Drosophila melanogaster: one gene and its partner. The gene in region 2 interacts genetically with the main gene of each other region. Each region holds a gene or a part of one and is shown on either strand. Other genes may lie near its edges.

What was found.
Region 1: of flz (region 2) and ich, changing one suppresses a phenotype caused by changing the other (phenotypic suppression), as found in Drosophila melanogaster (one study listed by BioGRID).

What each region holds. Positions count from the first base shown.
Region 1 is NT_033777.3:8,960,970-8,964,900, reverse strand, and holds the start of ich (ichor), read left to right. Parts: upstream 1-1,863; 5' UTR 1,864-2,602; intron 2,603-2,812; exon of another isoform or gene 2,813-2,952; intron 2,953-3,931. UniProt on the Drosophila melanogaster protein: Transcriptional activator. In tracheal terminal cells, regulates the transcription of factors involved in the formation of a mature apical extracellular matrix (aECM) which is essential for the integrity and shape of seamless tubes.
Region 2 is NT_033778.4:8,983,223-8,987,153, forward strand, and holds the start of flz (filzig), read right to left. Parts: upstream 2,354-3,931; 5' UTR 1,937-2,353; coding exon 1,705-1,936; intron 1-1,704. UniProt on the Drosophila melanogaster protein: Probable endopeptidase. In tracheal terminal cells, acts downstream of ich to regulate seamless tube growth and/or maintenance probably by processing lumenal matrix proteins.

The DNA of each region.
Region 1 (3,931 bases), on a different chromosome or scaffold from region 2:
ATATTTATTCTAAATGGTGTAATAAATAATTATGCAGCACCTACTTATTTTACACATTTATTTTAATATTTATTTTAATAATACTGCATTTAAATTTAATGACGCAGATGCTTCCCAAGTATTCATTCAAAGAAACCATTATATTCAATACCATTCTTTTGCTAGCAATTGTTAATCATACATCATCATACACCGAGCCAAACAAAAGACTTATGCGGCAAACTTGGCCATGAAACCTTCCCTTCCAAGTAGGCGACAAAGTTCAAGACAATCCCAAGATAAATTTTTATTAACTTCCATGAGTCACGCATGGAAAGAAAACAAAAATATTTGATATGAAAAAAAATTGCCCAGCATGCATATGAAATACTTTTGCGAAATAAAAAACGCAAGTTAATTCCAGCGAAGAAAAATCAGACATCACAAATACAGACTATGACTGTGGTCCCAAAAGGGGGAAGAAGATGTGCCGGCAGATGAAAAACAAATCATGAGGCATGAACATGACCAACAATCCAGACGGATACAGCGGAGGCGGCGGGGAAAGTACCCATATCAACCAAGTCCGTAGTGACGCAGTTGCATTTTGGTCAACACGATGATGAGGCAGGCGGCTCTTGTTTATGCTAATGCCAGTGCCAACCAACAGAGATACTAACTTCCATATGGGATTGGTAGTACCAAGTGGCGACCTGTCAAATACCCTGTTAGTCGTCCAATAGTTTGTCATATTCACCACGATCGAACTAACAACTTTCATATATAAATGTTTTGTACAAATAACTTATAATTAGAAATTAATATATTGAAACGATAAAGGGTCTTAAAATATAATACTTCCAATTTGACAGGGTATTGAATCAACAAATAAAATCACAGCAACTGCTGTTGTTGTAAAAAAGTCGTGAGCAAAAACACAAAAATCCACACAAAACTTTGCAACCTGTGAGCGCTGCTCGGAGCTTTCATTTTCGAAGCGATACCGTTAACTGCACAGGCACTGCTAAAACAACAACAACAATATTAGCAGCAGTGGCTGTGACAGCAATAACAACAGTCAGGCTAAAGAACAACAATGGCAAGTGCCAAGTGCAGACGCTGCTGAATAGCATATATATTATATATGAAATAAAAAATATATTTTTTGGTTAAGAAATATATTAAATTCTACAAATGTATTTTGAATAGAAATTAATAAACAAGTGTGGTAATAAAAATTGAACATTTCTTGGGCAAAATATACGTTGGCAACATGTTGCTGGCCCGGCAAACTGTAAATTGCTGGCAACATGTTTATAAGGCGGAATAACAGGAAAAAATGTTTAAATTTTTACTAAGTAGGTCAAGTTGCATGGCAGCTTCAAACAGGTATGAGCATGAAGCGCAAATGAAATTTAAGAAAAAAAATGTTAAGATACGTTAAAAAGTGTTAAGATACGATTCAGATTACAATAGAATAAAACTATGAAATAGGTTCCACTTAAAAATTAATTATTTGCGAAAGTTTCCGAAATTAATCGATGTGACTGAAATAAAACAACTTTTAAACACTAAAATCTAATATTTCATACACTGGGCTAAATATATTTACAACTGTAAGACATTACAAGTAACATGGCAATTGATATTATTTCAAAAATCCCAAAAATCTGCCGCTTTTGCCGAGATTTAAGAAACATAAACAAACTTAGCCCTGACTTTGAACTCACGTTGGAGCCGAGGTCTGCGCTTCGAACATGTTGCGATGCTCTCCGGCGCTCCGCTCCGACTCGGACCCGAACGTGATTTGTATCTTTGTATCTGCGCCAGCGTCGACGTCGCCGTCGCCGTTGGCTCGGAAATTTCTTTTCGTGTTGCGCCTGCGCACAGTTGGCTTTCTACCGTTGACGTCTGCGGATTTGTGCGCACCCAGTGTCTGCGTTCTTTCGCGGTTCGGTTCGATTTGATTGTGGACGTGGACTTCTTCCACCTCTTCGCAGACATCCACACAGATAGAGATACAGATACAGCTACAGATACAGTGGCGAACATGTGAAGTGGCAATAATCGAAAGAGCAAGCAACAGAAATTAGAACAAACGCACAGCGAAAATACAAAAGAAATAAGAATCGCAAAAGAAGTGAACAAAAACGTAAAATTTTAATTGAGCTAAAATGCGGCTAATAAATTGTGAAAATGGTTGACAAAGAGTTAAAGAAATTGTCAAATACATTACAAATCCAACTACGAAAATCCCCAACAAAGTGCTAAAAGTGAACAAAAACAGTGCAATAAAAAGGAAATACGCTAAAGAAAAAGTTAAAAATCAAAACAAAACATACGAAATACACATGCAAAATACTTCTAAAAACGCTGTTGTAAATATTTTAACCCGGAAATCGTTGAATTGGTTCATTGTACATACTGCAAAAAGTCAGATACCAAGAAAACCAAGAATATTGGAAAGCAATCTAAATTAAACCACTATCCACTACGGAACTATCATCCCAGATTGCAGTGCTGCAATTCATATCTATATCCCACACATAATAAACAATCTACTCGTACTACTACCCGTTCATTATTTTTTGCATAGTTTTTATGTCTTCCTCCCATTGTTTTTGTGAGTATACAAAAATATTATTTTTATTTTTTACCCTCCTCATTTAAACTTTCGGTGTTGGACTTTTATTATTTATCCACTTTTGGTGTTTTATATTTTGCTCACTTCCTCTATCTTAAATGCTTTGAATTCAATCTGCAAAAAAAATCATCAAAAACTAATATATATAAATGATAACCTAATAAGGATTTTTAAATTACAACTCCCAAGGATTATTATATAATTGAAAACGGATTACCGCAAAACAAAACTTAAACAGAAAGCTCCAGAAACATCTGACACAGAACGTTGATAAATTTTTGAGTATATTTTTCAAAATGTCTATTAGCTGAAGCTGCAATTTCGTAACAGTAAGTAAACAAAGAATGTTCTACCCCAATATACCAAAGCCAGTGCAAAACCAAACAAATCGAAATTCCTCAAGTCAACGGCCCCGCAAATAAGAAGAATATTCTCAATTCTGGCTTATAAACAAATCAGGCAAAAGTCATTGACCGAAATCGTTTCCGATATGTTCGTATATTACTCACCTGTTATGAAATACAAATAGACGGCCTTTAGACAGGCAGGTGGAACGTGAGGGGGGTGGGGGATTGGATTTGGTATCCGTAGGGCTCCACTTATGACAATTGTGAAATTCACATCCCACTAATGGGCAGTGACAAGGCATCCCGGGATGGATACAATGCTAATTAGAAGTGGGAACGGATTTTGGCGCTGAGTTCTTTTTTTTTTTTTGAGGTGAAGAAACTATTGCAGAAAAATGTTCTCGTTAGCCTAACTAGCTAGCTAATATACTAAATTCTTGGCTAGAAGCAGCCTTAGTAATTAAATTCAATGTTGTAAATGTGCTAAATTTGAGTTTTTATAGGTCTGGATTGTTCCATGCCATTTAGGTGAATAACCACAATGTGATCTCATTATAAAGATATGTTTAAGATTTATTTATTCTTTTCGTAAACAATGAAATTTTATGCTAAAGGTAACTTTAGGAAACTAAAAGAACTTCTGCATGTTTGAATATTTTCTATTATTAGAAAACATAAAGAAATTATATTATTATATTCCCAATCTTCAAAAATTCCTCAAACAAACATCTTTAGTTGATCGGATTTTACACTTAATTCAATCTTCCCACGTGACGTATGCGCAATGTGCAGCCAAAAATTCACAAGCTGGAAAATATAATGATTCCAAAACAATTAAACGTCTTTAGGCGACCTCAAAACGAACTTCAACTTGCCCGCTGCAGTCGGAAGTAAGAAGTAGTGCTCCTCTTCTTCTCTCTTCGTTTTACAGCTAGCACTTAAGCGTTTTTTTATATTTTTC
Region 2 (3,931 bases):
ACTGTGGTGTGCTGCGGTTTGGTTTGGTTTGGTTGCTGGGCTGCACTCAACTACTACGGCCACTGGCCAAGACATTTTCATTTCGCACGCGTTTTTCCTGAACTGCTTTCCTGGTTTTCTTTCTATGCAAACAACGCGCCTGAATAGAAATTGAAAATTGTTTTACGTGTTTCGTACTAATGATCAGGTGTGTATGTGGCCGATGATTGGCATTTGCCGACTTCCACCTCGCTGACGCAGCACAGTTCTGCGATTGCTGGCTGACCAGCGGAAGTATTGATTTTCTCCTCATGGGTTTCCCTAGGTTTTCCCAAACCTTTCAGATGGGGTAAGCTAAGTCGGAAGAGTCGGGCAGGGGAACAAAGAGAATCGTTGGGAAAACGCCTCGAAGAAAAGACACTGCATCCCAAGAAGCCATTATTGTTGTGGGACCTAACTTCGGTCGACTGACGATTAGAAAAGTAAATATGCTTGGTACCCAAACTTTGTATACATTTTTAAATGCCTAAAGTGTCTTACACATTTCTGTAATGTAATCGGTTTCTATTTGAATCAAAATGCAAATATTCATTTTCGCTTTTAATTTGAAGGGTACAATAAACTTCGAAGGCTAGACAGTTTTTTTTTTTTAAAGAGGTGTTTGTAAAAGGGTATCAACGTATCAAAGGACTTGTAAAGATTGTCTGCAAATTTTGCAGCGTAAGCTGTATAAACAAAGATTCACTTTGTAAGGGCTTTGAACTTGAGGAAAGTATTGATTAAACAGGGGTATATATGCTTTCAGCTTTATAATGTTTTCCCTACAGCCATAATATCTTAACAACGTACTTATGAGTGTTTTCACCATTTTAACGATCTTAAAGAAATGAAAATGGTGTGTGAAATTTCACATATAAAAGAGTTTTGTTCCTTTTTTTCGTGCTACATAGAGGTACTGCCGACTGACGATTATCACGAATGGTTTGTTTCCCCCCTTTGATTGTGATTGTGTTTGGCTTTTTATTGAGTTTGCACCTCGACTCTTTTGTTAGCCGGCACTTGGGCTCAATCTGAATTGAATGGGCTCAGGCTGTTGTCGAATCCGAATCCGAATCGAACTAATAACCAGGTACTCTAGAAATTTGTTTCACTTTTTAAATCAGCCAAATGACCTCGACAATTAACGGCAATGGGATGCTGAGAGGCAGCACTAAACACTCGAAAGACAGTAAAAACTGTCACAAGGAAAGTCGACGGCTGTGCCTAACATCTCCGAGGTCTTTTGTGGCCGTAATGTAGCATAAAACGAACCAAATAATTGCCAAGTGCGTGGAGTGTGGAAAGTCACTCGAAGAGCACCATCTACAGCCGCAGTTTTCTGTGCCAAAGTTTTTCTGATTCATTTATTGACACAAAGGCATAGTTTTGTGCTTTTTTTGCCACGAGCATTGTCAACTTGGCCAGGCCGAGGCATTGAGTGAAAGCCCCCGTTGGTGGGGATGGGATGCGATGGCTAAGTGAGCCAAAGTGAACCAAAGTGAGGCAGCAAAAGCCACTGACACGATTCGATTTGCAGCGACATGAGCTTGCAATTTGGCAAATTGATTTTCTTTGCCTTAATTCTACATTTTATTGTGTGCTAAACTTTCTTCTCAACGCGGCCTTTCATCGGATCGATGGATCATTGCGCAGGCAAGTCAATGAGCTAAATGGTCTGTCACTTACCGCCATTCGTTTCAATTGATCTAAATCCACTTGTTGTCGGCACAAATGATGCGACTATTATTATTAAACTTGTTAAAGCGATGGAAAGTAGTTGTGGTCTTGTTGTTCTCGTCGTTGTCGTTGCTGTTCTCGTTGCTGCCATCGCCGTTGTTGTTGTTGTGGCTGCTGTTGTTGCTGGCAGTGTGCAGCGGGACAACGTCGCCGTTGAGGCCGGCGTAACCCACTTAAACATGTTTGCTGCTGGACTGCCGGACACCTGCGGGGAGTTCTTGGCCTAGACCGTCTGGCAGCTCGTTGTGATAGTGATATGCGCCCTGCTTGTTTCGAAATTGCCACCGAAAATCGGGCGTGAGTGCGAAAACAGCGTGGCAGCGAAGCGCGCTGAACGAAAGACTTAGGCGACGAACGCGAATTGAGTTGTAACTGTGTGGATCCGATTCCGATTTCGATTGAATTTAATTCGGTTTTATTGCGACGACCGCACTTTCTTTGGTCAGCTGCGAATTTACAGTTGCTCGCACCAAAACACTAACACACTGCACCACATATATAGTATCTGGGTATCGGGTATCTATATCGTGTATCTTGTATCTTGTATCAGCGACCATGCGTCCGGTCGACTGAACGCTCCGCGTGTGTCTGACTGACTGATTGCGAGTTGGCCCGAACAGCGGCCAAGATAACGGACCTTCGCCACTTTTGTGGGGAAAACTTTCACTTTAACGCGGGAGAGCGCGTTTTCAAGAGAGCCGAGAGCGGTGCGGTACGTGAGAGTATTTCCATTAGGCGTCGCTTAAATGGTAAACATTTCTAATTCGGCGTCTGCTCGGCTTCTTCTTCAGCCGCTTCTGCTGCTGCTGCTATTGCTGCCTTTGCCACCGATCAGCGATTCCTGTTTTCTCCGCCTGCTTTCTTTCGCCCAGTCGCTGCTCTTTCTCTCGGCGTCCGTACGCGTGCGCGCCTCAAACCCAACTGAATCGGTTTACAGCACGGCCTTGCGGTTAAGAGCGCTGCGCCGACCGACTTAACAGTGTCGCTCGATGTTGCCGCAGCAAGATGCGATTGCCGCTGATGCTGCCGCTGATGCTGTCGCTAATGCTGGCGCTGATGTTGATGCTGATGTTGACCCTAGAAAAACGCTGCAGCTTTCGTCTGCAGCGATCCTTGTGACCAAAGATCAAAGCCATTGCTTATCTAATGAATGGATTTTAATAAATTGATTTAAACTAAATTAAGCATTTTAATGTAAATTCAAGTTAATTCAAGCTTTTTAATGATTTTCAAAGATTACTTCTTAAAGGACATTATTTATAATAATGCAATAATAATAATATTATTTAATAAATCTAACATTGGCATGTCCGAAATTTGCAATTAATTAAAACATAATACATTCTAGATTAGCCATTCCTAAATTGACATTTTAAAGTATACATGCTGTGTTTAAAAAAAATAGAACAGTAAGCCTTTAACAAGCTCAAGAAGTTGTATCTTTAGTTACATAAATAAAATTGATGTAATGTTATAAAGTTGCTGCGAAGCCGTTAATAAATTAGTGAAGTGCATATTATCGAAGATATTATCATGGACTCTATCGCTATTATATAGTACTTAAGTTAAGCCATTGATACATAACCATAAACAGACAATGCTGAACTCCTAGTTGTGAGCATTGAAAGTACGAAATGAGATCCATGAAAATTGCATTGGCACGCAGTGGGTCAACTGAGGTTATTCCCCCTGCGAGCCAGGCAATTTGTGGCCTGCAAAACACCGGCAAAAGTTAGTGGCTAATAACGGTCATCTAACTATTTGTCCAACTGGCCATGTGGCCACGGTGACCATGCATCCACTGGCGGCCAGGAGGAGGTGCAACCTGTCGATTGGCATTTCCTTGACCCAAATTTCACTGCGCGCACATGAGACACAAAGCGGCTGGAAAATCCGGCGGCCACAGCGGTTTGTTATTGTTTGGCTTTCTTGGCTGGGCCTGACGTGGCCTGGTCGGCACTACAATGTCGGGGGTAAACGCCTGACCAGGCTGGCATGGCACTGGTGGCTGCCCAAGCGTGGACGCCGCTCCGCCATCACGATCTTTGTAGAATTTCACTTTCGTTATTGTTGTCGCCGCTCGCCGTTTTTTCTGTCCACTTAATGTTTTTCTGTATGTATATTTTTTCTGTGCATTTCTCGGTTTGTTTTTTTTGTTTATTTTCCCGTGGTCAGA